Linked DNA regions of Pelodiscus sinensis. The protein of the gene in region 2 interacts with the protein of the main gene of each other region in a pairwise test. Links are inferred from orthologs where the notes say so. Each region holds a gene or a part of one and is shown on either strand. Other genes may lie near its edges.

Evidence for each region.
Region 1: the proteins of OPRM1 (region 2) and GJA4 interact in binary tests that used the Homo sapiens proteins (3 or more experiments, as listed by UniProt). The link is inferred for Pelodiscus sinensis from reciprocal best matches to the Homo sapiens genes OPRM1 and GJA4.

Annotation. Positions count from the first base shown.
Region 1 is NC_134735.1:6,568,151-6,584,087, reverse strand, and holds GJA4 (gap junction alpha-4 protein), read right to left. Parts: upstream 8,003-15,937; 5' UTR 7,848-8,002; intron 7,606-7,847; exon of another isoform or gene 7,457-7,605; intron 5,343-7,456; 5' UTR 5,326-5,342; coding exon 4,318-5,325; 3' UTR 2,238-4,317; downstream 1-2,237. UniProt on the Homo sapiens protein: One gap junction consists of a cluster of closely packed pairs of transmembrane channels, the connexons, through which materials of low MW diffuse from one cell to a neighboring cell.
Region 2 is NC_134713.1:109,685,020-109,700,956, reverse strand, and holds the start of OPRM1 (mu-type opioid receptor), read right to left. Parts: upstream 8,616-15,937; 5' UTR 8,474-8,615; coding exon 8,169-8,473; intron 1-8,168. UniProt on the Homo sapiens protein: Receptor for endogenous opioids such as beta-endorphin and endomorphin. Receptor for natural and synthetic opioids including morphine, heroin, DAMGO, fentanyl, etorphine, buprenorphin and methadone.

The DNA.
Region 1 (15,937 bases), on a different chromosome or scaffold from region 2:
GGCCCATTCTTTAGATTTCTGGTCAGCACCTGGCGTTGAAGGCCAACCCCGGCCATTTCAGACGGTCACACGTGATGTCAGCCTGCAGCCAGCTTGCTACGCTCACCAGAGCCTGGATTGACTCACTGTGTGCGGATCAGAATTCACTCGAAGTGCACCATCGATGGCTAGAGGGGGCAAGCTTAGTAGCCCAGCATCACCGAGGTGTGGGGGAGTCTGCACCCCCGCTCCCCTATCTGCAGGCAGATGGAACCCTCAGCCAGCAGGTGGAACAGAAATTTGATTAGGCAACAGGGACGCAGCATGGACAGATAGGGCAGCATAGTAGCCAAAAGAAGTCAGTACAACCCAGCTCTGAGAGGAAGGGGGGGTGTAGAGCCAGGGCCCTGGCCCTCCCCCGGCACCGCAAACCAGATGAGACTAACTCATACAGCCAGCAGCCTGCCCCCCACCCCTTAGCCAGGCTCCTTCCCCAGCCTCCGTCTTGCTTCCCAGGCAAAAGGTGACACCTGGCCACACCTCCACCCGGCTCAGCTTACAGAGGGCATCGGCCATCGTGTAGGTGTGGGAGGCGAATCCCACCGAAATGCCCATCAGCATCTAGGATGGTGGACTCCAGCCTTTTTAATCACAAGAGCGCTTTTTCAATGTAAGATCTACCTCAACCCCAAATCCCCTTGCCCCACTTCCTTCCCGCCCCTTCTCTGATGCTCCGCCCCTTCTTCAAGGCCTCACCCTGCTCACTCCATCTCCCTTCCTCCCGCTCTTTCACCAGGCTAGAGCAGTGGGTTGGGGTGCAGGCTCTGGTCATAGGCCAAGGGGTTCACAGTGTGGGAAGGGCTCCGGGCTTAGCCCAGGGTGGGGGATTAGGGTTCAGGAGGGATTTCAGGGTGCAAGCTCTGGGAAGGAGTTCGGGTGCAGGGGGACTCATGTGGGGCAGGAGGAGGTTCAGGGCTGGGCCAGGGGTTCTGGCTGGGCACCATTTAATGGAGATGGCTTCTGGGTGGCAGAGCAGTGGGGTTAAGGCAGGCTTACTCCTGCCCTGGCCCTGTCCTGAAAACAGCTGGCATGGATAGCACTGGCTCCTTGGCACCATGTGCTGCCCTGCATGCACCGGCACTGAGTCCACAGCTTCTACTGGCCACGGTTCCCCATTACTCATCCATGGGAGCTGCCGGAGTGGTGGTGTGGGCAAAGACAGCAATGTAGAGACCCCCTGCTCGGCCTCTCAGGGACATGCCCACCCTTTCCAGGGGCAGCAATTACCACAGGGGTAATTACTCCCGCCATGGCCGGTTCAGCATTTTAGAACTCACTACTCAAAGAATTGAGAGAGATGAAAATTATGAAATGCACAGACCAGTCCAAAACCAAAAATAACCCACTGTACCAGCAGTAAAAGTAGTAACAACCCTCCCCCCACACATACGTGTCAGGCGATGAGAGCAAAGGGCAGTGTGTGTGTGTGTGTGTGTGTGTGTGTGTGTGTGTGTGAGAGAGAGAGAATGACAGAAACACACAGAATGTGAGTGACAGATTTGCATTGCCAAGATCTCTCCCCTTCTCTCTGTGTGGAGATGGGGTACATGAGTGAGGGAACTTGGTCCTCAGAGCCCTGCCTCTTCTCCCTGCCACACCCTGCACAGCAAGCAGGCGGCTTCCGGGGGGGCAGCTTCAAGGCAGAGGGCAGGAACAGCTTGGCAACAGGCAGAGGGGCAACTAAAGGGCCAGCTCTTGATAGCTGCCTGGCCAAGCCAGTCAGGATCACCTGTCAGAGGCTCCAAGATCTACTGGTAGATCCCACTCTATAGGCTGGTGCTTGCTGATCTAGAAACTGGTGCAGTGCCCAGGGAAACTGAGGCAGAGGGGGTTACGGCAGGACAGTAGAAAAGAGGGACCTTAGAATTTAACCCATAAGCGGGTGCTTATACAAGTTAACGGGATTAGTTAAAATCAGCTAGCTCAGCAGTACAGCCTGCGCCCTGGGATGCAGGCGGGCAAGGACTACCAGCTCCACTTGTAGGAAAGAGCCCACCCTGTGTGTAGCTACCAAGATTTCCAGCAGTTACCATATTAAGCGACACTTAACTTCCCTAGGAGAACACACACGCAACAGAAGAAGGGGAATAAAACCCCTACAGCCCTCACTTCGTCACACCAAAAAGCTGGGAGCCATGACCTGCGGTCCACCATACTAGACGCGCCCCATTAGAGAAAGCACCACACAGAGCAGTAGGTATTTTACATCCAAGTTTTACTCAACAAAACGTTACGTCTTCCCAGAGGAGCAGCTTCCCTTTACGCCGCTCTCGGCTCGGACTTTGTGCGCTGGGGTGAGGCAAGGACACAGAGCCTCGGTTTTGTTCCACTTGCAACGGAAGCCATCAGGACACCACAGTTCGACTGTTTTGTTTCACAGTTTGGGGGATGCAGGCTCAATTCACTGGAGTCTGCTCTCTCACCGTGGACAGCGGCCCACAACACTTCCAGCAGGGGAGGCCACGTGTGCAAAACAAAGTGACTTGGATTCCCCCCTCCCCTCCCCTCTTTTTGAAATAAAGAAAAAAGTTTGGGGTGTTCATTGAAGTAAAATAGCCAATGACCTAAGCCAGTTCAGAGAGCACCCCACCACCCAGCTGTACCCCTCCCCGTCCTTCACCAGACCCCACTGCTGGTTCTGGGGCATCCTGCGGAAAGCCAGCTCGGAACAGCGTCATCGGCCTGAAGCCCCATCTGTGGGTCTAGGTCTCTGAAGCAGGCAGGTCGCTTACCTACAGCCTCCTCGCTCCCTTCCCCCCAGCCTGAGTCTGTGGGCAGCCCCCCAGGCTCACACTCCATAACCCACAGCCTCCTCGCTCCCTTCCCCCCAGCCTGAGTCTGTGGGCAGCCCCCCAGGCTCACACTCCATAAGCCTAGGGGCTTCATTCCCAGCTGGTCTGAACCCATCCCAAGGGAGCGGCCGGGAAGTGAAGGTTCACATTTAACACTAGCCAACAGCTGACCAGAGCCAGGGAGAAACAGGCAGTTTGGGAGACAGTCGCTTTGTCTACAGAAGGTTAAAATAAAGTTAACCCCTGGAAAGCTGCCTCCCTGAAATGACACCACCTGGAACAGAGAACCAGGGCTGTAGGACCCGGGGAAATCGCCTACACCTGCAAACCCTCTCAACCGGCACAGGGAACCGGGCTTCTAACTGCCGTGGGGCAACTGAAGGCAGGGAGACAGGTGCCAAAACCTGAGGTACAGCCTTGCCTTAGTGCATTAGGGTTTCCTCCTGCCAGCTGGCCTGGAGAAGCTACTGAATCATGCAGCTTTGGGGGGCATGAGCTAGCTGTTGGGATTATTTTGGTAGGGGATTTCCCTTCCCCTCCCCACCCCACCCCACCCCCAAAAAAAGACTTATGAGCAGGGCTAGCTGTATTGACTGACTGTCTTTTAGCTGCCACTTAAGTGCCTCCCCCCTCCCCCAAATTAATTCACAGCAAGCTGCCCTGGGGAACTGCCGAACGCTTGCAGACGCGTAAGACCTTGGAGACAAAGAAATTGCTCCCCACTTCCCCCAGGTGATGGAATTATTTGCATAGGCTGGGCCAGATTACCTCCCTGGTTAGGGATTAAAGCTTCTGCCTAGAGAGGTGCAGAGTCCGGGTTACAAAGCCCAGCCCAGGAAAGATGGAAGAAGGGAATGTCCCATGACATCTGCTCCCTTGCTGTTTTATGGCCATCATCCCACATCCCCTGCCCCAAAGGCTCAGTAGCTGGCCCACCCCAATGCAGAGCGCCTTGGATTGGAACACACCCCAGATCCCAGGCGGCTTCCCATTCAGCGGAAGGAGGGATTTTGTCTACACAGTTTAAAAGGACAAAGCAACAGCCCTCCTGGGACTGCAGCCAGAGACAGGCGAGTCTTGGTCCCTCGGCAACGTCAATGACAGTTGTTGGCGCTGGCGAATAACTCCCAACCCCCAACTCTTCCCGGAGCCCAAAGTACAGTTCCCCAGCAGAATGGTAAGAATCGGCCTGGCGCTGTAAACGGCAGCCAGCTGGCTACAACGCATCATGTGATTGAACCCAGGTTTGGCATCCTATGGCCTGGCCAGTCTGCGCACACCTGGAAGCACCTCGACAGCAGTCACACTTTAAATACAGACACACAACAGGCAGCAGAGAGCAGGAGGCACCTGCCAGTTAGCCAAAGTGGGTCTCCAGGGAGAGCTTTGTTTTTTTTAAAAGTCTCTCTAGCAATCAGGTTACGTGGCCAAGAGGCCCGTGGCACTCCCTTGGTTCTATGGCCTATGGACACCCCTTCAGTGCTCTCTAGACATACTGCTTCTTGGAGGCAGAGCTGCTGGGCCGGCTGGACTGCCTCTCCTGCACGGGCTGGGTGGCCAGGGCATAGCCATTTGAGGTGGGTTTGTTCCCATTGCGCAGCGCCAGGTTCTCCTCGGTGTTGAAGTTGGCCCAGTTCTGCTCGCTGGAGAGCTTGTTGTAGGTCAGGTAGGGAGGGGAGTGGCTGTCGCTCAGGGGGAGGTAGTGGCACGTCTTACTGTCTGGGAAGGGGTCCATGTCCCCAGCTGGGCAGGGAGAGGAGGAAGAGGCCTTCCTTAGGCTGCTGAGCAGGTTTTTGCAGCAGAGGTGGAAGAGCTCCAGAAGGTTGAGGCCCAGGGAGATCAGCCCCACCACCATCATGAAGATGATGAAGATCGTCTTCTCCGTGGGGCGGGAGACAAAGCAGTCCACCTTGTGGGGGCAGGGGTCCCTCTCACACACAAAGATGGGCGGCATGAAGAAGCCGTACAGGTACCACTGGCCTAAGAGGAAGCCGGCCTCGAAGATGCTCTTGCAGACCACGCTGATGACATAGGTCCACATCAGGGAGCCACGGATCTTGATGTGCCCGTCCTCTGCCACGCAGATCTTGTCCATCTTCTTCTGCACCGCCGCCAGCGCCTGCTCCGCCTTCACGTCTTTGACCTGCACCGCCCGGAGCTCGCTCTCCCGCTGCTTCAGCTTCTCCTCCCGCTGCGAGAGGTAGATGACGTGGCCCAGGTAGACCAGGGTGGGGGTGCTGACGAAGAGGAACTGCAGCACCCAGTAGCGGATGTGGGAGATGGGGAAGGCTTTGTCGTAACACACGTTGACGCAGCCCGGCTGCTTGGTGTTGCATAGGAAGTCCGACTGCTCATCCCCCCACACCGACTCCCCGGCCAGCCCCAGGATGAGGATCCGGAAGATGAAGAGCACCGTCAGCCAGATCTTCCCAATCGCTGTCGAGTGCTCCTGGACCTGGTCCAGCAGCTTCTCCAGGAAGCCCCAGTCCCCCATCTTCTAGAGGACTTGTGCTATTGAGGGCAAGGAGAGGACAAGAGTTAAGGCAACCCGACAGCTTAGCCTTGGCGAGCCAGAGGCAGGGAACACACGGGGCTTCCTACCCCTCTGCTCCCAAGGATGCCAGGCACCGGGCTGGGCAGACACCACAGCCTGCCCACCCCCTCCAGCTCGGGTTTCAGAGCTACAACAGCGCTAAGGACACCCACTGGCAGCTGGCACCGGGTGCCAATAGGTGGGTGGGGCTTCAGCGAGGGATGTGAAATCCTGTTTGTTAACTACAACCAGTTAACTGATTAACCAGGGGGGAAGCCCTACCTGCTATGACCCAGCTGGAACACCTCTGCTGGGCTCTGCCAGGCTGGGGAGGGGGGCAGCTTCAGCCCCCTGCTGGTTAGCCATAGCCAGTAAGCATCCCCGGTTAGAGCGATACTTACTGGTTAACCAGTCACATCCCTAGACTGTGGAGCACAAGACCTTCTGCTACCAGTGGCAGCTGGGGTGGGAGTTTGTCCAGCTGGCTCAGTCAGCCCATCAGAGCACAGGGAGCCGGTTACTTCCTGGGAGGCCTGGCAGGGCCATCTCAGGGGTGGAGGGAGTGAGACTGGAGGGGGCTCCCAGGCCCCACAACCTCCTAGAGACAGCTGTGCTAGGCACAGTTGTACCTAGCACACGGCTGTGTAGGGCACCACAAAAATGTGGTGCCCCAAGTTTCCTGGAGCCCAATGCAGCTGCATATTTTGCTTATGGGCAGGGGCAGCCTTGACTCTGGGCTAGTTCTCAGCCCTGAAAGCTCACTGGGGGGGGGGGGGGGGGGTAGAAGAGATATTTCTGCAGGCTCCCATCCCTGCCACCTACCAGGGCTCCAGCAAGATGCCAGCCTTCCAGAGACCCAGCACCCCCCCTTCATCCCACACAGGGAGACCACAAAAACCCAGCAGAGAAAGCTACCCCCCGACAGCACTAGCCACCCACACGAGGTGGCACCACTTTTGCCTGGTAATGGCCAGGAGCCAGTAACCTTAGTTACCGGACTAGGGAGTCCAGCTGTCCCAAGGGGCCATGGGAAAGCAGCACCGTACCGCTGGGGCTTGCTGCTTTTAGTTAGAGGCACAGGGCGAGTTCAAGGCCAGCTCTCAGCTTCCTGGCCAGTTGCCAGCACTGCCTTCCTTAGTGACCCTGGAATTGAAGGGGTTGGCCCAGCCATGCTTCCCCCCCCCCCAGCAGAAGTCCCATTGGGGCAGGACATGGGCGTTAGTTGTCCCCTGGCTTCTTGTAAGAGCTGGGCAAGTGCCCTAGGGCAGGCGAGTGCCAGGCACCGCACAGGTCAGCTCTCCCCGAGCCAAGGGCACCAGCCAGCCCCTGGATGTAAGAACACAGGACCAGCCTGAGGGCTGGGCAAACTGGGCTTATACCCAGAGGACCATAGGCAGAGGGTAAGGGGCAACCAGACATGGGCACTGCTATGCAAAGAGGCTGGAAGGTACGGTGTGTGTGTGTGTGGGGGAAAGGGGCACAGTGGGGCAGGGGGGCAGCATGGCAAGACATACTGGAAGGATGGGGCTGGGGGGAAGCACAGGGGTGGGGATGAAGGGGGCACTGTGCAGCAGTTAGGGGCCAAGGGGGCACAGGATGGGGGTGCAGGAGTTGGGGAGCCCATGGGAAATGGGTCATTCTATGCCCACAGGGGTCAGGGCACCAAAACACAAGTTTGCCCAGGGCCCCATTTCCCCCAAGGAAGCCCTGGGCATGGACCAGAACCTCCTGCACCTACAAACCACCCTTGCAGCTAAGCCCCCCACCTCATGTGGGCCCCCCCTTTCCAACAGCCTTAGTCACTTCCGAGAGACCCCAGCCACTGAGGCTCAAGGAGCCCTGGAAACAGTGGAGGGGCTGGGGTAGGAGACCAGGGTGAAAACACTCAGAGGCTCCAGCCTTTTCCCCAGGGGCCCAGCATCTGACAAAGCAGAGACCCACCCCCCAGCTTCCCACTGGTTTACCCTTTGGGGAGCAAAGCTTAGTTACTCCAAACCCAGCTCCACGGGGCCAGACATTGATGTTAACACCCCCCCAGCAGGGCAATGGCCAGACAAGGCATGCAGCCCCAAAGGGGGTCAGATTCACTCACCCAATTCCTTCCTGGGGTATCGCTCACCCCCCAGAGCTAAGCCACCCCCTTAAGGGCACTGGCTCACGGCTCCTTCCTCCCACCAGCACCTCGCAGCAGGGGCCTGAAGCTCCTTTGTAAGCAACACCTGCCAATTAGCCAATTAAGGCTCAGGGCAGGGAGAGGTGGCTGGGGCCAGGTGCAGTCAGGAAGGGGTTAAGCCAGGGGCTGAGGCATGCACCCCAAAGGTGCAGGCAGTGGGACACAGCCCCCCTTTGCATTCCCCTGGTTCCTCCCTGCAGCCCCTGTCCCTAAGCCCAGCAGGCTCACAGCAGATCCGCTGCCCAGCCTGCCCTGGGGGCTTGCTCAGAGGAGGGACCCAGCAGCCAGCTGGAGTCTGGTAGTTACTCACCTAAGCCAGGCACAGCTGTGCCCCTCCGGCTGGGACCAGGCTCTGCCCCCGCTGGGACCAGGGGCTTAGAACGTGTGGCTCTTTCCACACAGGCGGCTGCTCCCACCAGATCCCTGGAACTATTAGTGCCAAGGAGGAAACGGACCCTGGATAGAGTTAGACAGGGGGGTGGGGGAGGAGCTGCAGGAAACTGGGGGCTGGCAAAAATTAAAGCCCGGCTGCAGAGCCTGCCTTTAAAGGGGCAGCTGCTCTGGCAGGTGTGTGAGGCTGGGGTGTGTGTCGGGGGGCGGGGGTGGATAGGGGACTTGATTCCTTTCCTGGCTGCAGAGTCGGGGGAACTCAGAGATATTGGGGAAGAGCCCAGCGCCGGGAGGGGGGACTAGCCTCTGGAATGTGGGGAGAGCGGCCTTGTCACAGACAGGGACGGGGAGCCTGGAAATAGGAAATGGAGGAAAACAAGCCAGACAGGGCTGAAATAATAATAATAATCCGGCCGGGTCAGAGCTTCCCCCGCTGAGCCAAAAGCAACAAGGGGAAGGGCTGCTGGGAAGATCCCTGGCAAGGGGACTAGCGGTGAGAGTCCACCGGTAACCAGGCCTCTGTGGGGGCATCGTCCCTGGGGAAAGCTCCGTCTGACAGACCGTCTAGGGGCATGATTCTTGCTTGGGGTGCTAGACGTCCTGGGATCAAATCCCCGAGAAGCCCTGTGCTGTTAGGACAAGAAGCAACGGGCTTCAATTGCAGCAAGGGAGGTTTAGGTTGGACATTAGGAAAAACTTCCTCACTGGCAGGGTGGTGGAACTCTGGAATAAATTGCTGAGGGGATTGTGGAATCTCCATCCCTGGAGATACGGAAGAGCAGGTTAGACAGGCACCTGTCGGGGATGGTCCAGGTGGAGCTTGGTCCTGCTGCGAGGGCCAGGGACTGGACTCGATGACCTCGCGAGGTCCCTTCCGGTTCTAGTGGTCTGTGCTGAGGCTGGCGGCCAGGGTTGGAGGGTCCCACGCCCCGCTAGGCTGATCCTGTCAGAAGGGCAAAGCCCTGAGCTCGCTAGGTGCGCTGGTTAAAACAGGTTAGTTAAAACTGGGTTGATAACGACGGCTCGCCCTAAAAGGAGGTTTCCCTAATGGAGGCAGGACTATTCCCTTGGCTACACTCGGAATTCCTCTCACATGTCGGCACGCCGCACTCCCTGCACCTGGGTAAACGTGGTGGGGGGGGGGGGGGCTGCCAAGCTCCGAATCTCGCTCTCCGGCCACAGCCTGGCTTCCACACCCCTTTGGTGCCAGTGCAGGGTGGGGGGTTGGGTGGCTGTTCCCCCCTCCCCCCCCCAATGCCATCACACTGGTACCAGCCCTAGTTCTGTGGCCAGCTGGGCCCGACTAAAAGTGCTTCCAGGAATGTCTTCCCTTTCACCTCTGGGCTGCTGCATTCCTAATTGAGCAGGCTAACGAGAGAGCAGCACCACCCTTTGGACAGACCGAGAAAGGCGCCCGCAGGAGAAATCACAGGGCACAGGATTCTGCAGGGCAATGCAAACCCTCCCCTCTTCTACCCCAGTTTATTCTCATCCACCCAAATAAGCCACCGTCCCTCCCCCCTTGCCTCATTCTCTGCCCAAACAGCGGGGATACCTTAGAGCTGCTCTTTTTCCAAGCCTGGTCCCTAAATTCCACCTTCCGGCTACTAGATAAAAGCGGCCTTATGCCCAGAGATAGGGGGAGGCCACGGCTCGTGGGCAGCAGGGAAAGCAGGGTTCAGCCATGCCAGGTGCCCCGCCAGAACTCCCCAATGTCGACCCAGCCCCCTTGCCTCGAAATAAGCGACGTAATTTTCCCTATGCACATTTCAAGGTTATTTCAAACTAAAGCGCCTCTCCGACGAGTCCCTGAATATTCCTGGAACGAGGGCTACAGGGACGCAGGAACAGCACTCCCGTTATTTTGAAATCTATTTTGAAATAACGGGCGCGTTTAAAGATGCGGAATTGCTATTTTGGGACACTTCCGGTATCCTGAAATAGCCCCGCTGTCTAGACGCTGGGAGGAAAGACACTGAGTTCTCAGGCTGGTCTCCAGGGTATGGGCCCAAGCAGCTGTCTGAAAGGGGAGTGGTTTTCAGCCATTTAGGTTCAAAGCATCTCTTTATACCATGTAAGGTCCTTGGCCAGCCCCCGTTGTCTCTGAGTACCTTGCAGGCTGTAATGTGTTTATCCTCACAACGCCCCTGTGAGGAAAGGAAGTGCTGTGATCCCTATTGTATGAATGGGGAAACCGAGGCACAAAGTGACTCAAGATCATTCAGGGAGTCTGTGGCAGTGAAGGGAAATACACCCAGGCCAACACCCTAACCACTGGACCATCCTTCCTCCCTCCCCCACAAGATATAGCTTTATTTCCATTTCCAATAGCACCTGTGTCCCATAAGAATGGAACATAAGAATGGCCACACTGGGTCAGACCAAAGGTCCATCCAGCCCAATGTCCTGTCTTTTGACCATGGCCAAAGCCATGTGCCCCAGAGGGAGTGAACAGAACAGGGAATCATCAAGAGATCTCTTTCCTGTTGCCTATTCCTAGCCAACAAACAGAGGCGAGGGACGCCATTTCTATCTTTTTTGAGCCCTATTAAAGTCCTGATCTTCACAACATCCTCTGGCAAGGAGTTCCACAGGTTGATTGTGCACTGTGTGAATAAATATTTCCTTTTTATTTGTTTTAAACCCGCTACCAATTCATTTCATTTGGTGACCCCCTGGTTCTTATTACGTTATGGGTCCCAATATATTTTAGATTCCTTAGATGCTTTTGAAAATGTCCCCCAGGATCTCTCTGGACCTCAGTTTCCCTCTGTACAGTGGATGTGCCTGCCTCCCTGGGGTGCTTCGGGAGAATAAATACCTGCAGAGATTAGGAGGTATTCGGCTACATGGGGCAATGTCATGTAGCTATTATGCAGGCCACTTGTCGGGTTTTAAGCAGGACAATCCCGCTCTTCTAGGTTTCTCCCCCATCTGGTACTGAGACAAACCCAGCTGTGGTTTTGTCCCACATCCCAGGAGGAAGGAGGCGGCGAGGTCATGCCAGCAGGGCTCTTTCATCAGCTTGGCCCCTGGGTGGTGCTAGAATGACAGAGTCGTCCCCCAAACCACTGAAACTTCTGATCTTCTGGTTAGAGGAACTATTAGACATACAGCCCCCCTCCCTCTCATAAAGAAACCTTTCACTCAGTTAAAGGCACACGCTGATCTAACAGGATGAGCTTAATTAAACACTCCGGGGCCACAGCGGGCCGTCAGATTTCTAAGCCTAACTCCCGCACTGGAGTCACCGGAGATTGCTGCTGAAATACCCCGGGGGCACATCTAAGGACTGATGGGTTCTTTGAAAGGCACGATGATGGATATTCCGAACACGGCCAGGAGCCCTCCGAGAGGAGCTTCCCACGAGTCGGGCAGTGGGGGGGGGGGGGGGGGGGGTTGATTCCGAAGCTGTGCTGAGCGAGGAATGGCTTGATGTCACCTTCCCGCCGCGGGACGGAACGCCACGTGGGCCTGGGGATCGGAACGTGGCCTCGATCAAGCCAAGCGACGAAGCACGGAGTTAATCGTCTCTGCCTGTTTCGGTCCCATTGGGATCCAAGGCACCTGCGTTCGGCGGGTGCTGAGTGCTTGTGACCGCCCCAGACGATGTGTTTAATGTATGGGGGGCGGGGGGAGGGGGGTTGCTTGCATGCCAGGGAACTGTTCTTGGGTCACAGATGATTGTATTGCTCTCTGCTCAGTCTCTTTGGCAGGGGGCTCTTCCAGATGTCATACAATAGACACCAACAGCTGGATCGCCCTCCCTCATCCGTTTATCCTCAGCCACTGCTCAGACCCCTCCCTTTACCTGGGCTGGGCCAGGATGGGGCAGGAGTTGGGGTCATGCACTCAATGACAACCCTCCGGCACATCCTGTCAACTCAAGGCGACAGGTTAATATCAAATGGCCGCAAGCGGCATTCACCCCCGGGGAAGGGGCGTATCCTCCAGTGGGGAGGGGCAGCGTGAAGGGTGGGGGAGGACTCTGAGCATGGTCGCTAATAACGGGACTCAGTAACAAGTCAGAGTGTTTCTGGTTGCCCCACGATGTGCCAGGCCCTGTAAAAACACAAAGGCAGGGCCGGTGTGGTCCCTTTAGCTGAGATACCTTCATTTCCTCACTCCGGGTCCCTCCTTATTCAAAGGGCTCCAGTTAGTAGCTGCTGGGCCTGAGTCTCTGCCCCTTATTTACCTGGGACCCACGCCCGCTGGGGTGTTAATGCAGTTCCACCCAGCTGGAAGTGGTTACTGCTGTCCCTGAAGCAAATGGGGTCGGCTGATTTACATCCATGCCGAGGATCGGGCCCATGGAAGTCAAAGCAGTTGCTCCCGATTTGCACTGGTGTCAACTCAGGGTCAGGTGTGGGAGTCCTTAGCTGCTCCAGTGTGGGACTATAAAACGCTTCCCCTCCAGCCGGGCTGGCAGCTCGTCGCTGGTCTGTTTTCTGCCCTGAACGTCTGAGCCGTCCGCGAGTTGCTGTGTCTCCAGCAGTTGGCATCCCCTTCACTCTGCCCTTTGGCCTGGTGCCTGGCAATCTTCTCGGAGCAGGCCTGGCCTTTTCTGGGGGGGGGGGAGGGCTCATTGGTGTGTGACTGGGATTAGGCAAAGCCTTGTCTTTGTAGACATGCCCGGAAGCCTTAGCATTCCTCAGCAGTGAAAATCCTCCCAGGTCAAATGAGGGGCAAAGGAACCAAAGCAAAGAGGATCCTGGGTCACTTCGTGCCTCAGTTTCCCCATCTATGCAATAGGGATAACAGGATGAGGATTCTGACCTGCATCGGGGATGAGGCTGCTGCCTACCTTTCCCTCCGGGCTGGAGGTCTCTGGGGGGGGCCTCTCTTGTCCACCCGCCAGAATGACTGAGCCATGACAGCACCGGTAAGGTCATTTCTCGGTTTGCTAGTGGTGTCAGAGTCTCCCAAAAGCGAGGGGGGAAGGAATGACGGACCAGGGTGCGGCTTAAAGCAGGGAATTTTCCTGTGGCTGCAATCCAAGGAATCCGGGATTTCTTTCCCTCCTTGGCTTGAACTGGAGCCAAAGCCCATGAGCGTTTTCCCATGGACCTCGGGGGCTTTGGATCATCCCGAGAGAAGGGATCGGTGCGGCTGGGGGGGGGGGGGAGGGATTTCTGAACTGCTGGTCCACGTGGGAACCCCGGCTCTGCTGAGCAGCCGGACGTGTCTCCCGCTCCCGAACCCCCGACCTCGGCGCAGCATTGGCTCCTGGCAGCCGGGCAGGGGTGGGGCCACGGAAGAGTTGCCAGGGAACCCTCTTGGGAGATGGGGCCCAGCCAGCTGAGTGGAGCACGAAGCCCCAGCGGGCGCAAGAGTGGACAGGCCCTTTACGCAGAGCCGGGGCTGTGTAGCAACAGACTCAATGGAAACCACCCCTGGGGGCTGCAATGATCCGTGAGTAATTGATGCCGAACCCGTCTTGATTTCCAGGGCAGTAGAGCCTGGCACTAGTGACTTAACGTTCAGTGATGTGGGGCAGGCTGCGTCGTGGGCAGGGCACGTCCCGGCGACAGGCCCACATGGATGCACTGCCAGCGCGGCGCCTCGGTGGGCCGGGGCAAGGCCAAGCCCTCAGCACCGTTTCATGGGTCGGGCCCAACTCTGCTTAGAAGCAGAGAATCCCAGGGCTGGAAGAGACCTCAGGAGTCATCGAGTCCAGCCCTTACCCAAAGCAGGACCAACCCCAACTCCACCATCCCAGCCAGGGCTCTGTCCAGCCGGCACTTAAAAACCTCCAGGGATGGAAATTCCACCCCCTCCCTAGGGAACCGGTCCCAGCGCTTCCCCACCCGCCTAGGGAAATAGTTTTTTCTAATCTCCAACCTAGCCCTCCCCCAATGTAACTTGAGACCAATGTTCCTCATTCTGCCATGTGTCACCACTGAGAACAGCCTCTCTCCATCCTCTTTGGAACCTTCCTTCAGGAAGCAGAAGGCTGTTCTCAAATCCACCTCTTCCTCCCGTAGTCTAAACAAGCCCAAATCCCTCAACCTCTTGGTTGGGTTGAGCCAGTCCCTTAAAGCCGAACAGGTGAAGTCTGTGGCATGGGCTCATCCACCCGTCCATCCATCCATCCATCCATCCATCCATCCTCCTCTGCCCATCCCCGTCTCTCCCAGTCGCTCTGTTTTCTACCTGCCTTATCTCAGCCACCCATCTCGGGACTAACCAGCGGCAAGAGTTTTCCTTTCGCCAAACCGGAGGCGCCCCTCTCCCTTCTCCGGCTTTGGTAGCCATGCTCCATCACGGTGCCTCTAACCACCCCATGACCTCAGTCGCCCTGACTCCCTTCAAGCGGCAAGGGAATAATGGGGTATTGTGCTGCTCCTCCCTTTGGTCTCTGTTTCGTTCCTGGGGCGCTGTGTGTTTAGCTGGGGTGACCAGATGTCCCATTTTGGCTGGGACAGTCCCTTGTTTCGGCCCTGCCTGGGCCACCTGACTTCTTTATGATTGACAAAACTGGGCATTTATGCCACTTTTGCCAGCAGGTCATCAGTTGGCAACAGCAAACTGGCCCCCTGCCCAGCTGTGCCCAAACAATCGGGGTGAGATCCCTAGCAGGGCACGGTGGAACATGCGGGATGGGGGAGGAGGTGAGTGGCTAGGGGCAGCGTCTTGGGTTAGCCAACTTGCCCTGCTGGCAGGAGGGAGGGATCTCGGCAGCCCAATGTGCAGGCGGGTGCCGTGTGGCCTCGGGTGGTGGTGGGGGCATGGCAGACCAACCCCATGTGCAGGGGGAAGGGGCTTGCAGGGGGTCGCAGGTAGATGATTGGAGATTGGGGGGTGCTTAGGGTCTGGTGGGGAGGGGAACTTCAGCCCAGCCACAGACGGGAGGCAGGGAAGGCTTGGGTCCGCTGGGCTGGGGGTCCCATTTTCCCTTTGAGAAGTTATGGTCACCCAATGTTTAGTAAACTTAAACCCAGGCCAACATCCATGGGCAATCTGAAGCAGGAACAGGATGGTCCAGTGGCTGGGACCTCAGCAGACCTTGGTTCTATTCTTGACTCTGCCACTGCCCTATTGGGCAATCTTGGGCAAGTCACTTTCCCTCTCTGTGCCTCAGTTTCCTATTTCTCCCTTTGTCTATATAGACTGCAAGGTCTTTGGGGCAGGGACTTTTTGAATGGTGTGAATGTACAGCACCTCGCACCCTAAGTCCTAAACAGGGGAGCAACGTACCTGAAATAAGAGACAGTGGTCCCCTGTTGAAATCAGCACGCAGTCTCAGTGGGGGCCAGTGCTGCAGTGTAAGCATCCCTCAGAGAAAACAGGCATGTACGTATAAACAAATGTAACGTTTATTTGGCCATTCAATCACTGGTTAATTAGGCAAATAAAATGATCATTTGGCCCCCCAAGGATAGAACACGCATCCCCCAGCCCAAGGTATGAAGCAGTCCAGCTGTACAATGAAAAATACCAATCTCGCTGCTGTGAAGCGTTTTTCAGGGTGCCCCAGCCAATAGCAGTGGGGGGGGGGGGGGACATTCACCAAAAGAAAACGAAAGAACTTGGCTTGGTTTGACACATCAAATCCGATGGGACGGCTCCTCCGCTGGTGGAAACGGGCTATGCCAGGCCCTGTCTACAACCTCCCCCGCCAGCCAACCCCAGCTGAGGGCCAGGGCTGTTACACGGCACGGCTCCAACCTTTGCTGGCTGCCAAGTAGCTGGGCTGCCGTGCAGCACAGCGCCAGCCTGCCCCGACCTCTGGACTGCCATATGACACGGCCCCAAGCCCTCCAGGGCAGCTGGGGAGTGTAGACAGTTTTGGGAAAGCAATGCCTTCCCTTGCCTACACTACCTACCATCCTTGCTCACATCCATAGGGTGTAGCCATCGAACTGCCACTCAGCTCTGGCGCTATAGCAAGAGAGGCGTTTTTCCCGGACGCGTCGTTAATCCATCCTTGGAGGCTTTGTCCACACGGCCAGCTGAGTGACACCACGTTTGTTATTCACGGGGGCTTACCCCCCCCCGCTACTCGACGAA
Region 2 (15,937 bases):
AATATCCAAAGCAGTTAAAATAAATGTAAATTGGTATTTAGAACAGTGTGATTAAAATGGCAATTAATTTTAAATAAATGTATTTGTTTTGAATTAATCACTTGTGTTACTGTGATTGCCAGCCCCACAAATAATATTACTATTAACATCCCAGACACTAAATTTCCCACTTTGAAGAAAGTTAAAACAAAACAAAACAAACAAAAAAAAACAAGCAAGCAAAAAAGAGCAATCACTTGGAGAGTTGTTAGATATAATTTCATGAAGTGGGTAGTGCAAATAGATTTCTGGCAGAATTCCATTGCTGATAACACCATTATTAGACCTGAGCTTCTGCACTGAAGAAACATGAAGAAAGCTTACTAAAAATTCACAGCAGAATTTGCTGTTCCACATTCCATAATTTGCACAAAAATGCAGTTTTTTATTACTCTGCAAATGACTATTATGAAACACAGTTACAGTGAGGACACATAGTACTCGAAATTCATTCATTTTATATATTCTGCTACAGTAGTATATCCTGGAACATTATTCAGTAATTAATTCAGTTTTCAAGTATTTAAATATGTCAAGCATATTTTATGATACATTACCTTGACTTTTTTACTGTTTGTTCCCACCAAGCCTGATCCAAGACCCACTGACATCAACTAAAAGACTTACATTGATTTTTCTGGTCTATGGATCAGGCCTTTTGCCAATTTCAAAAGTTCAAGAGTGGGTTTCTTAATCACAAATATGAGCTAATGAGCTTCTAATGTACAGCACTTTAAACAACACACAGACAATTCTCCCCCCCTTCCCACTCCACAAAATTTATAAACACTTCCAAAAACACTTTCACCACTTTAAAAAGCAATTAAGAAAATGCCATTAGCAAAGAGAAAATTACATACCATCAAAAGAAGAGAGAGTCTGAGGAAATAAGCAGCAAAATTTTCCACAAAATATACGAAGAAAAAGTTACCCTCTCAAGATTGTTACAACACACACACACACACACACACACACACACACACACACACACACACACACACACACACACACACACAAAAGAAACATTGAGCCCACTACTGAAAGCCTGCCTGTAAAAATATATAGTCAGTGTCAACATTTTCCATCCATTCTGTCCCCCCAACATTGATTCTGAATTGAGGCAGATGCTCTAGCTACTGGGATTTGTGATTACATTAGAAACTTGTCTTTCGATTAAAAAAAGTTTTAAAGCCTTCTTGGTTATGAAGAAAAATTCAAAAATGCCCCTGAAGTGCAGCCAATGCAATGATATCAGTCTGAGTTTGTACTCTGAGAGTCTCTGCAATCAGAGGGTATATCTAGACTACATGGCTCTATCGACGGAGCCATGAACATGAATTTACTAGACATAGAAAAATGAAGCGGGTGATTTAAATAATCGCCGCTTCATTTACATCAAAAATGGCAGCCATGCTGTGCTGATCAGCTATTTGGTGGCACAGTGGGGCAGTCTGGACGCGCTGCGGTTGACAAGGGAAGCCTTTGTTGACCACTCCGGTAAACCTCATTTCAGGAGGCATAGCGAAGCGATCAACAAAGTCTTCCCTTGTCGACCGCAATACGTCCAGACTGCCCCGCTGTGCCGCCAAACAGCTGATCGGCACAGCGTGGCGGCCATTTTGATGTAAATGAAGTGGCGATTATTTAAATCACCCGCTTCATTTTTCTATGTCTAGTAAATTCATGTTCATGGCTCCGTCGATAGAGCCATGTAGTCTAGATATACCCTCTGATTGCAGAGACTCTCAGAGTACGCTTCATTTTCCTATGTCTAGTAAACTCGTCTACATGGCTCCAATAATGGAGCCATGTATGGCTCCAATAATGGAGCCATGTAGTCTAGACATACCCAGAGAGAAGGGAACCTCACAGTCCATCTCAGTGGAGTGTTAACTTCCAGACCTCTGCTCAGAGGTACCCTGGCAACACTAATCTAGCAAATCATTGTACAGGAGGCAGGAGCAGAAGAGTGCGATGTGTCTGACCAATTCACCCAAGCAGATTCACCTCAGTTACAAAGCCAAGTATTGGGGGAGGAGCAATGCTGCTACCTTACCATTTCAGAGGGGAGAGATTAGCCTGGTTGCTATCAAATATGTGCAATAGCATTACACTGATTCCTAATGCTATGGTGTGCTTTGTGTCCTGAATGGGCTTAGTTTGGCCCCAGACATTTCCCATGCCTCCTATCATGAACCCAGAGCATTCTTTCTCTTCTACCATTGCTTCTCATCCAAATCTTGAGCAGTCTTACTTCTGCCTCATATTCTTGAGAGTTCTTAGGACAACCTAGTGAGGGGGATTGTGTCTACTTCAATTGCTAGATGCCAGCCCACCACTGAATTCCCAGATTTTACATGGAAAATGTTGGTCATAATTTTGATAAGTGGAATAAATGTGAAAAATGTCATGGCAAGCAAAATACTTAGAGAAAGGTAAGAGTTCTGTGTGAAATATTTGGTTTTAAAATTGGTAATTTTGAAGAAGTTTAACTTGTTTTATCAGTAGGTAATACATGCAGACCCTGGCACGTTCAGGCTGAATTGGCTGTTGTCTGTGGCTCCCTCTTCTCTATCTGGTCACAAAGGGATGATTCTGAAATATGTCCTGGCAAGAGCTTGGGCTCTAACCAACATGTCTGGACTGCCAAAGTAAAGTACAATGTTCGGTTGTTTGCACATATAAACCATATTTTGTGATTAAAAATAAACGTAATGTTACTCTTTGTTTCTCTAGACTCTAGAGCCTAATCCAGAACCCAGTGAAGATTCCAAAAGATTCCCATCAGTTTCACTGGGCTTAGTCACTACTTATATTACCTTTAAATCCTTAGTAAAAACACATCCTGAAAAATCTGAAGGGAGGAATTTTGCTTTCTACCATTTGTCAAAGATAGGTGTGCTAATATTTAATGGCCAGAAGCTGGGATTGAATGACAAAGGACAGATCTTTCATTGTCCTGTTCTGTTCATTCCCTCTGAAACACCTGATATTGGTCACTGTCAGAAGACAGGATACTGGACAAGATGGACCTGATCCATCTGGTCTGAACTAATATGACTGTTCTTATATTATAATTTCAGGTTTGGTGTATGAGGCAAATCACTTGCTGTCTTGATACTTGGCAAAGGCATTTCTTGTTGTAAAGAACATGTCAACAAGAGTATGTCAATCTTCTTAACTTACCAGAAATGTAGTTAAGGTTCCAGTCCTGAGATGTGTGTAGTGCCTTCAGTTCCCATTTAATTTACTGGGTTTTGAAGGCACTAAACTCCTCTCACAAGGAGCTCAGCACCTTGCAGGATTGGGCCCTCAGGTGAATATTCTGTTTTCTGGGCTTCACTGTTATATCAAGTATGGTATAATACAAATGTAAGCCAATCTGCCTAATACTGGATATGCTCAAGTCTTAGTCTCAGATCCTCAAAGGTATTTAGTCAGCTACCTCCCATTAAGACCACTGAGCATTAAGTGTCTAAACAGCTTTGAGGATCCGGGCCTCCTTTCATGCCTATTCATGAAAAATTTCCCACTGACTTAAATGGGAGCAGGATGGCATCCACAGATTTGGGTAACTGAATTCACTCTGTTACTAATAGCATATCATGACTATGTGCTACTTAATGGCTGAAAGTCACATTTGTTGTGGCCTAACAATGTTTGCTTAGTCTCAGAGCCATTTTAGTGTATATTTGCAAAAAACAATGAGGAGTTCTGTGGCACCTTAAAGACTTACAGATTTATTTAGGCATAAGTTTTCTAAATCTGATAGCTTTTAATGTTTGCCTAGTAAAATGTTAAATTAAGAAGAAAATTATAATTAATGTTACTTGAAAAACATTACAGAACTCTATTATTTTTTGAATTAATATTTATATGGACTACATGAAGAAAATAAATGATAAAGCACCATAATAGTCAATAAATCAATGGAGGGTTATAAAACTTAAGCTCTAGAAATAGAGGAGAGGAGATGCTTGATCATCACTGATAGAAACAACTTAGAAATAGCTACACACAGCTTGATCTGACAGGATGCAGATATCCCGAATGTACATATACACCATTCTGTAAAAAGTTATGAGCAAATCAGGGAAACCTGACCTTGCATCAGTGAGAATGCCACTGCATAGTTGCCAAGTACTTCTCTTTAGTGGCAAAAATTTCGTGAAGGAAAAGAACAAATAGATAAGCAAAGCCTCTAATCTGCAAATTGAGATTCACATTTAAACTGATGTCTTTCACTTGTCCCATCACTCCAGAGAATAAGGGAGAAGCTGCAGAAGTGACTTGAGCTGAACAGTGGATTAGCACTAGGCCTGAACATCATATAAGAACTTGCAAACTTGAGGCCCCCAAACCCATAATTTTAAAACTTTTTCTCAGCATTATCAAGGATAAGATATGGAAAGATTATGCACTCAGAGTTGAGATGTGTGTGCCAAAAGAACTTTTCTTTTTGGAGGAGTTAGAAGGTAGATGTTTGAGTACTTCTAACAGAGTTTTCACCTTAACTATGGGGCAACTCCATGGCTGCATCTAGACTGGCATGATTTTCTGTAAATACTTTTAATGGAAAAGTTTTTCTATTAAAAGCATTTGTGGAAAAGAGCATCTAGATTGGCATGAATGCTTTTGCGCAAAAGCACTTTTTGCAGAAAAGCATCCGTGCCAATCTAGATGCGGTTTTGCTCCAGAAAGCCCCGATTGCCATTTTCACCATCGGGGCTTTTTTGCGCAAAACAGTCCTCTCCTGTCTACACTGGCCCTCTTGCGCAAATACATTTGTGCAAGAGGGCTTATCCCTGAGTGGGAGCATCATAGTATTTGCACAAGAACACTGACAATCTTACATTAGATGGCCAGTGTTCTTGTGCAAATTAAAGTGGCCAATGTAGACAGCTGGCAACTTGCCAGTCTAGACGCAGCCCATATGTTTTCAACTACATTTCCAAAGGAGACATTTATTTGGGTGTTAGTGAAGCTCAACACCTCTGAACATTGTGTCATTACTGTTCTTGTTGGGCCTGATCATGCAAGATACCCAAGTCCAGTTCCCTATAGGCATTTAGGTGCCTAACTCCGATTGAAATAATATAACATTCTGACATGGGTCTCCCTCAATCTCTCCATTTAAAGTTGTTCTGTTTTAATTAAATAATGAAATATTGAGTCAGAGATGGCTTGAATGACTCTACTGTTTAGTAGTTAAATCACTCTGCTGCAAGGTGGCACATCCCTGTTCAAATCTGCTTAATTTAGTAGGCAGAGGGGGCACTTGAACCTATGTGTGTACCTTAACCATTGGGATAAATGCCATGAAGGAGGTTGCTTTGTCTTCATCCGTGGCAATTTTGTGTAAATGCATCTGAGGAATCCAATCTGGTAGGCAGCCTTTGAACATACCCACTGCATGAAATCTCATCCCCACAAATTTAGGCAGTCACACTATCTTCCCCTGGTTAGTGAATGACTGTGGGTCTCAGATAGGAGATAAGTGCCCAGATGCCTAGCAGGTGGCTGCAGTGTACATGTGCACAAGCAGGAGCATAGACACATAGGGACCTTGACTGAAAAACCATAGGTGCTGAGTGCATATAAAATTAAGTGGCAGCCAAGCAGGAATTTTGTGGATCTCAGAGGGGCCTAAAACTGGGACTTAGGTGCCTAAGTACCTTTATGAATCCCACTGTTAACCTCTTTGTGTCTCATATCCCCATCTGTAAAATGAAAGTAATAATATTTCCTTTCTCCACTTGTCTATTTTTCTTATCGTTGGGACGTTAGTCATCCCTTACAATGACTATGTAGCATGGTTAGGACAATGAGGCCTGCTGATGCTGCTGTAGTACAAATAATAATAACTACAAAATAATTAAAATGTAATGATCAGTTATTGGCTATTGGACAGGTTCTAGCTGGCATAACTAACCCCCCCCCCCCCAAACAACGCTTATTTGCTTACATTCATACTTACTGTGTTATATTATACATCTGATTTTCCCCAGCTTAATACATTCAATGTATGCATAGAGTAAGTGTGGTGATAATGACATTTAGAAGTATTTAAATAGCTGGAATGTTGCCAGAAAATGCCATATCTTGATTTGGTAACCCCATGAAATGGTACAGAATCTTTCCAGCTATTTAAATTTAAAATCCAGTACCTGAAAGGTAATTTGAAAAAACAACTCCCTGGCCTGGGTTAGGACTACTCCAGTCTGAACCACTTATTCAATCTTTATTTCCATTAACCCTATCAAATTGGCTTATATTTAATAGGTGTGCCATAAATTCACTAGCATGCTACTAGTGCCCTTAAATAAATACTGTGGGTGAGAGAGATTTCTATTCTCATCAATACCTCAAACCTTGTGTTTTCGTATGTCCTTTGTGAAGTTTCTGTGGTTGTGACTGCAGTGCAAACAGATGCTTTGGGACTGTCTCTTGTCTGTCCTTTCAGTTACCATTAGGATCTCATCACAAGCATCTAGTTTCCATGCTTTTCCTGCTAATCGTGCCCTGCTACACCAATCTGCCTCATGAGTCCCAGGTTTAATCAGACATTAAAAAGTTCCCTTCTTCTATTCCCTGGAAAATACAAATTTATTTTAAAACAACAAAATTAAATTAGTAGAAAAACATAACAATTTTAGAAAATAACTGCTAGTCTTATTTTGCCTTTGGTAAGGCATCCTATTGTTTTTATTTACTTAAACATGAATGGTTTATAACTTTGCTCTAATGTGTAAAATTATTTCTCTCTCCTCTTATCGCATCATGAAATCTTTAAAAATTACATACAAAGTAATGCAAGAAAGATGCTTCTCACTAGAACATGTATTCTAATTGAACCCCCATTTCCTACAGCAAGTCTATCTGTTGTGATCAGTACTTTCAATAGATGGTGCTGTTTTCTCAGGGAAAGTGATTGTAATCTGATTTCAAGCAAATGTTAGACAAATGTAAGGAGCAAATTTCATTCCTCTCTTCTTTGCCTTGTACTAAGAAATCTGATTTGCAAGTGGAGTAGAAGACTCCCTTATGAAACAACCACAACTTATTTTTTAAAAACCCACTAGTAAATATATTTATCTGGAAGTGAGATTATTTGTTAGAAAGCTGCAAAATATAGCAACACCACCAGAAAAGCAGTAATTAATTTTAATGAGCCCCATCCTTTTCTTAGTAGAGGTCAGTTGGCATGTCAAAGAGGAAACTACAGAGCCCCAGGAAGAAAGGGGTGGGGATGAGTGAAAAAATATTAGGTTTTATAATATTCTCATTTGTGTGGGGTGTTAAAAAAAAAACCTCGTGCTAACCCTTTGTCTTCTTACCTAGTGTGCTAGGATTTCGTGTGAAAGCAGTAAGAAATGTTCTGCGAATATACATATTTTAGGGTACTTGTTCTGGACACTCAGGTCGTGTTTACTAAATTATAAAAATCACTGCCATGAAGGTAACAAGTTGCTCCTTAAACAAATACACGTCACTTTTGCCTCTGGAAGATATGGCAGTAATTTATTTCTAAATTATTATTATTCAGTTAGGTAGCTCACTTCTGCGCCTTGCTGAAATTGCCTCCATCAGACAGAAGCCTTCAGTTGCCTTCTTCTGGTCTGATATTTGGGAGAGATGTGCTCTCTCCGCCAGACCTAGAGCACAACTTTCCCCCAGCACTTCGTCTTGCAGAGGCGCCCTGACTTGCATAGGGTATTTCAGCAACACAATTCCCTAGCTTCTACGATTAGCCACAAGGCAGAGAACGAGAGAAACAGAGGTCTCTCTAAAAGACCTGCCCCACCCCCAAGTTCATGAAGCCTGAAGAGGAAAGCTGCAAGACTCTCAGCCCCTATCTAGGTGTCCAGGAGAACAGCAAGGGGGGAGAGGCACATCTCCCAGTGGAAAGTATCTCCGGGCAGGACCGTACTTGCAGCCGAGCCAGTCGAGGGCAAGGACACCACGTCCAGTCTCTCCCCACCTCGGTGTCAAGCGGAGGAAAGTGACTCAGAACGAAGTGTTTAGTACTTTATAGCCACCCTGGTCTCCGTCCCCTTCGCCACCCCCCCAGGCCTCAGTGCGTGCCCCCCGCTCTCCCTAGCCCCGGGGCAGCCTCCTTCCCCCCTTACCTGATGATGACATACATGACCAAGAAGTTCCCGAAGAGCCCCACCACGCACACGACGGAGTAGAGAGCCATGATGGTGATGGCCGTGATCGTGGAGGGGCTGACCCCGCCGCCCGGGCACAGGCTGCCGCTGCCTCCCTCCTGGCTGCTGTTGCTGCCGCTGCAGGGGTCGGACTGGTTCCAGCCTGGCTCCTCCGGGCGGCCGGACAGGTTGGTCCAGGCGCCCGGCGGCAGCGGAGGGCAGCTGGCGGCGGGCGGCGCGAAGGGGCCGCAGGCGCTGGAGTTGGCGGGGAAGGCGCTGTCCATGGTGCTGGCCGCGGGAGCAGGTGAGCGGCGGCGAGAGCGGGAGGCAGCGAGGCGAGCGGAGCCTGACACGTGCTGGGCTTCTGCGGGCAGCTGCCCTGCCCGGGCCGGGCCGGGGGGCGCCGGGGAGCAGGCGGCTGAGCGGGATGTAGCGCGAAAGACACTGAAAAGGCTTCGCTCGCCCGCCCGCCAGATGCGCGCAACCTCCTCACGTGCGCTGCTGCCGCCGCTGGCGGGGCGGCACCCGCGTGAGCTGGGTGGACAAGCGCGGAGAGGCGGAGCGGGCGGCAGCGGGAAAGCGGGGAGGAGGGACTCTCTTGGTGTTTTGTTCTTGGGCACCGGACTTGTACAAGGAGGACATGTGACTCCGCTGCTGTGTCCAAGCCGCGCGCGGCGCTGGCTCTCCACTCCTCTTGCCCCTTGCCTGCCCACCCTCGTACAGCCCCTGGGGCAGAGGAACTGGGGAGAGAGCATCTGAACTCCAGTCTCGCCTTCCAAAGCCTTTCTACCTGCTTTGTTTCTGCCCACTCCTTCTCCCTCTCTGAGGGCGGAGAAGCACACAAGGGCAGCTCCCAGGACAAGCCACCCCACTAGCGTTCCCAACTGCACTGCAGTCTTGCAGCCCCAGCCCCTGGCAGCAAGGGCACATACAATAATTTCAAATTTCCCCTTCCCCGGGAGCTGGCACCTGGTTCACTTAGATCCTGGAGCACAAGAAAGCGCCAGCACCACTAGCGAGAATGTGACCAGAAGCTGGAGATTAAACAGCCGGAGAGTATAATATGTTCAACATGTAACTGATTAATACAAGAAGTCGGGGTGCTTTATAGGGGGGTTGTCCTCTTTAGATATCTTCAGTGTATGTAAGAATAAAATGTGGTTGCCCATATGGCAACAGGTTGTGAAATGATAGGCAAACAGACGTGTGTGTTGGAAGTAATTTGCTTTTCACGAAACCTAACGATTGTGACCAGAGAAACTGCTGCTTGAGCTGATAACAGCTATTTGATCAAGAGTGGAGATTTTACACGATTTGCTAACATTCAAAGGAACAGACTAATAAGTTTCACATTTGAAGGCTGGGGACATGTATTTTATTTTCACATTGCTTGTTTGGATGGGTTGGCACTTTTACATGGAACACTCATTCCAAAGCTGCACAGGGACAATCATGTGCATTTCCAGAAACAGCCTGCCTGCTCAGCATTTCTTGGACTACATTCTTTTGCTGTCACATCTTTGAAATCAAAGAAGCTCCACTGCAAGTGAGAGAAAAAAAAAGTTAACTCCCACTGAACAGGAACCAAGAAACATAGCTGGCAGTGTAACTACTACATATGCTGCATTACATTGCTGGTCTAGCTCATTCACTGCTCAGGGTCAATACACCTTCTGACTGCAGAGTAGGGAAGAGTGAGGATGTGGAGGGTGACCAGATAGCAGGTGTGAAAAATCATGATGGAGGACTGTATGTGGGGTAATAGAGTGCTATATAGACAAAGACCCTAATATTGATATATCTGGTCACACCTGTGTCAGAGTTGCATAGGAGTGTGTAAGGCTCCAAAGTCTAGTCACTGTACACTCAGGAAAGGCAAGATGGCTGAATAGCATCCATTTTGGGAGTTAGGAGTTACTTTCATCCCATCCCATACTAGGGAAGAACAAGTGCTATATTTGCATTCATGGTGGAGGTTAAAGGAGTTATCATTAGCGAGGGAGCAGCAAATGAAGTACCTCAGTTCATTAGCAATGCGAGGAGGAGGGGAAGAGAATCCTTAGGACTTTACAGTTGGAAAATAATTATTTCAGGTATATAAATCTGGGTAATGGGGAATATTCTCCCTTTTTTCTAAAGTGACATATCATCAGGGGTATTGGAGTAGTAAGGGAAGTGGAGGAGAAAGGTCAAAGAACCTGCTGTGTGTGCAAGCTGGTAATGATCTGTATGCACTTTTCTACAACCAGGTGATTTTTTTCAAAATTCCTAAGGCCTGTCTGGATGGGGCATAATCAGTTGGAATAAAAGTTTTAAATGGTGTTTAACATAGGAACGTCCTTCTCCAGTGTGAAAATCTAGAGGAGAGGGGGGAAATATAGCAGCAACTCAGATACATTCTTTCAAAGTTGATGCTTCATTCTCCTTTCATGAGGAGATGGACTTTCTGGCATGCAGAATGAGTAGGTAAGAAAGTCTTGAAACTTTATGGCTGTGTCTACACTGGAGCGTTCTTGTGTGAAAACGGCTGCTCTTGCGCAAAAACATGCTGCCTGTCTATGCTGGCATTCTTGTGCAAATAAACTGACGTTGTACTGTAGAAAATCAGGGCTTCTTCTGCGAGAACTCTGATGCTCCCTTTCAGGAAGAAGCCCTCTTGTGCAAGAGCTCTTCCAGAAGAGGCCAGTGTAGACAGGCAACATGAATTTCTTGTGCAAGAAGTCTCTATGATTAAAATGGCCATCAGAGCTTTCTTGCACAAAACAGCATCTACATTGCCATGGATGCTCTTGTGCAAAAGCACATCTCTTGCACAAAAGCACATGCCAGTGTAGACGCGCTCTTGTGGAAGACTTTTTGTGCAAGAACTCTTCCACAAAAGAGTTTTTGCACAAGAAGCTGCCAGTGTAGATGTAGCCTACAACTCTCAATGAAATGGATTTTGGAGCATGCACACAGTGGAGCAGCCCCTCCTTATTAACCCCCCAACCTCCATCAAAGTTCTCTAACAGCTTAACTCAGGAGTAGAGCCAGGTGATCATTAATCCTTGTGATGTGCTTGTGCCTAGCCCTCTTCTAGGTTTAATAAGAAGATGTAGGGCAGAAACTAATGCTGCTAGCAGAGTCTGTTTTCATCCCTTCTTGTCCCTTAATTATCACAACCACTTGTTGCCTATTTTGGTCTTATTTTAATAAAGCTCAATGACTCATTAGACTGGTCATTAGGAAGACTGTTTAATCTTTAAAATGAACTATTGATGACTAGATTAAATGGGCTAGTACATAATATTTATTACATGAGAAAAAATAAATGGTAAATGAAATTGACCTTTTGACAGGTGAAAACCGTGACTTCACTGAGGCCTGGCAAGAAGCCTCAGGGGGTTAGTTCCACTAAGATCAAGCTTCATTAAGCAACATTTCAGAGGTAAGTTAAAGAAAAAGAAAACTGGTTAAACACAGCATTTTATAAATACAGTGCAAACTTTATTACTCAAGTGGCATAGGAGACACTGAATAAATCTGAATAATGAAGGTTTTTGTGTATCAAGTGTATCCTTAATATGATTAATGCATGTGACCCTCTTTTTGTTAACAGGAGATATAGGATAATTGAGGCCTGGATATTCAAAGTTCTGCTGAGTCAGATGAGAAGAGATAACAGGCACACCTAGGAGGTAGAAATGTGGCTTTTAGCTTGCACATCCCTGACAACCTATGGAGAATGTCACTTTCAATCCCTCAAATTTTGGGGGTACTTGTGATATTTCCACTTAAAACAGGGATAGTAGGTGACCCTACTATTTACATGGATTGGCATTTCACCTGGTGTGTGTGAATCTGTTTGCATATTGTAAGTTACATCTATGTATTCTGTTCTGGATGCACTTTATACTCACTTGCACAGGTGGAAATTAGAAAATCAAAGGCAGTGGACAATGAAATCGCAATATATTTTTAGTATGTACAATGGCAGGCATTGCAAAGTTGAGAGTTATAGCACCTAGAGAATCCTGGAACAATACTGCAATACACAATTAGCACCTAATCTATTTATATGATGAATGGGGAGAGAGAGGTGCCTAAGAATGCAATCCACAAAAGCCAGAATGCTTAGGTGTGGAAGACACATAAACTAGCCACTGGGAAATGTCCACCAGAGTGTGGGCTAATAAGCTACATGCCTCTTGGGTGCTTAAATTCAGGTTGCAGACAGGTGCCTATATTTGCTTAGTAATCCAGGAATGGAAACCCACCATTTGCAGTCAAATCACTTCAGCTCCTAAGGTATTTCTTACAGGAATGTGAGACGATGACCCTTAAAAGAGTCCTTGAGTTATATCAAGGTATAAGCCATGTAGGATGGTGTCAACGTCCACAATGTCTCTCCTGCAGCGTTTGGTCTCTGCTCATCTGGCCCAGGTCAGAGCATAATTTCTGGAAAAAGGAGCATTTGATTCAAAGAGTGTTTATGTTATGGCCAAGTCCCAAATATTCATGGCATATATTTAAACATTTTGTATGAATTGATGAAATGATTAATCATTGAAGGAAATATCAATGCCTAGAAATAAATGTGTAGCAATATCACTCAGATGTGTGCATTTATCTGGAAGATTGTGCTCTGACATGCCTTTAACAGTTAAGGATAGTGTGTGCCTGGAGAGTTACAGTTTATAACCTCTGTGTACCTAGATCAATTTCCTTCAAATTGCAGGGATGATTACACACAAGCAAAATTTTCAGTTTAGGGGGAAAAAGCCATTCTGAATGGTCAGCATGCAGAGTGAATGCAGGACAATCTGTATTTTTCTATGATACAGAAATGGCCCAACAGATTTTTTTCAGACTTTCTCTCCAGAATGTTTACCTGGACTCAGAACAAGTATGGTGCATTTCTAATTAAAAGATATTTTAAAGGAATATGTTAAGTGTCTGGTGATAGGAACTTTAAATAACTCATCTCTGACAGGGTAGACAAATCCTGCACCAGATAGGAAGGAATTAAAAAGCAGCACCGCCCTCACTTAGCCCCCATCCTGGTGGGTATTGGATTTAAGAGGAGGAAGGCCAAACAATTGACTATCTGTGAAGGCAGGCAGGCAGGCAGGCTTCTCCTATGTAGAACAAGGAGCCTGAGTTGCACCAGGGATTGTAAGAGGGCTGTGTTGATTTCTTGGACACTGGGAAGGCAGGCACACCTGGTTTGTAGATTAGAGAAGAGCCATATTGGCAGTTGCTAAGTGCTCAAGGGTTGAAATGTGCCTGTTAACCAGTGAAGAGAGAGCAAGGACTGTGGTAGCTTGGAGGATAATGCTAGTATTGTCAGATGCTAATGATGCCGGAGTCCTGACACACAGCAGGTGAGAACATGGCTTGCTTGTGCTAAGGACAGGTGGTAGCAAGATGCCTCACAACAACCCTGGCTATGCCCAGGAAGCATCTCAAGTTCCTTGCTGGGAGACTAGTAGTAAATTCTGGAAAGGGCTGTGCTGCAGAAAGGCAATCAGTGCTCCATGTTTCCTTTGCTGAAGCAAATGCTGTCAGTAGCTTTTGTCATTATAACTCTCACTACTCTCAATCCAGTGCAAAGCTGCAAGATTTAATAAACACCAATTATTACTTATAAGAAGTCTTCAATATTATTGACCTCCATTTAATGCACAAAGCATAGAAGGGATGCAGATTTAGAAAGCTCTTAGAAGATACTTTGGGTTTTTTTTTCTGTCAGAGAACGAAGCACAATTTAAGTCCTGTTGCTGTTATTGCTTTGCATTATCTTACCTGTGTCAGGACTGAGTCCAGGGCACTGGGTCACAAACTGAGTTTGTTAATATTCATAGAGAAGGTTGGCAGGATTTCGTCAAGGAGTATTTTATGAACACATTTTCATTATTTATCCAGCTGCAGTCAGAATTCAATCAATGAAATGTCTGAAATGGGGATTTAGAAAGCAATGCAGTTAACAAACTCTTCTGTCTACAAGGCAGAGCTAAATTACACTCTCAGGAAGCTCAGTTATGGATCAGTAGACTGTTGTCTTGGTAAAAGAATCCAATATGCCTCTTCTTATCCTCTTATCTCAGCCTTCTTCCATATGCATAGAAACAAAGAATGGCATACTGGTTCAGACCTATGGTCCTTCTAGCACAGAATCCTATCATCCAACAGTCAGTAACAGATGGCTCAGAAGGAACAAACAGAACAGGACAATTACTGACTGATCCTTTCGCTGTAGTCCAGTCCCAGCTTCTGGCAGTCAAAGACCTAGGGTGTGTTTAGATAGCACCTTTCTGTCAGAATAAGCTACACAATTTGCGCTATGCAAATTGTGTAGCTTATTCCGAGTTTAGGTCGAAAGAGCTTATTTTGAAATTGGGCGCTATTGTTATTTAAAATGTTGTCAGTGATAGGGAAGAAAACATGAAATCATCACTGACAAAGTTAGGAGATGGCATAAAAATTGGGGGAGTGGCAAATAATGAAGAGGACAGGTCACTGATTGAGAATACTATGGATCACGTAGTACATTGGGCACCGACTAATAATATGAATTTTTATACTGCTAGCATAAATGTATACATCTAGGAACAAAGGACATAGTCCATACTTATAGGATAGAGCACTCTATCCTGGAGAGTATCTACAATCCTCAAATCTTTTTCAGAGTAATTTATCAGCTGAACATGAACTCTCACTGTGATGCTGTGGCCAAAAAAGCTAATGTGTTCCTGGGGTGCATAAACAGAAATTTTGAGTAGGAGTAAAATTATTATTTTACCTCTGTTTGGCACTGGTGCAGTTGCTGCTAGAATACTGTGCCCAGTTCTGTTGCCTTCAATTCAAGAAGGATGTGGATAAATTGGAGAGAGTTCAGAGAAGATTCACAGGAATGATTAAATGATTAGAAAACATGAAAGAGTTCAGTTTCTTTAGCATAACAAAAAGCAGGTTAATGATACTTTATTGTAGTCTACATGTGGAACACATATTTAATAATGGGCTCTTTAATCTTGCAGAAAATTTATAATAAGGTTAATTGAAGCTAGACAAATTCAGACTGGAAATAAGATGTAAATTTTTAACAGTGAGAGTAATTAACCATTGGAGCACTGTAACAATGATCATGGTGTATTCCACATTGCTGGCAATGTTAAAATCAAGACTGGATGTTTTTCTACAAAATATGTTCTGAGAACTATTTTGGAGAACTTCTCTGGCCTGTATTATGCAGGAAATCAGCCTGGATGATCACAGTGTCTCTTCTGGGCTTGGAATATATGAATCTATGGAGCAGAGAGGATAACAACTCTCAATTCCTAGTCCTCACACAAAAGGGGACTTTGAACTATTGTGAAATTACTATGGGTGCATCTACACTGCACCGTAGCTTGAAATAAGATACACAATTTGAGCTATGCAAATTGCATATCTTATTTAGATTCTATTTTGAAATAGCTTATTTCATAATTTTTCACTGTCTACACGTGCAACATTTTAAAATAAAGCACTATTCCGAAAGTCCTTTACTCCTTGTAGAATAAGGTTTATACAGAATAGTGAGCCTGAAATAACGGGCTTGCTGTAAAGGCATGGGATAATTATTTCGGGAGACTCCAGTATCCTAAAATAGTGTTGCAGCGTAGACAAACCCTATGTAGTCAGTGTGTGCAAAGAAACCAGCAGTCAGAGAAACAAATGAATCTTGCCAAAATGTATATTTACCATTTGCTAAGGTCTTCTATGAA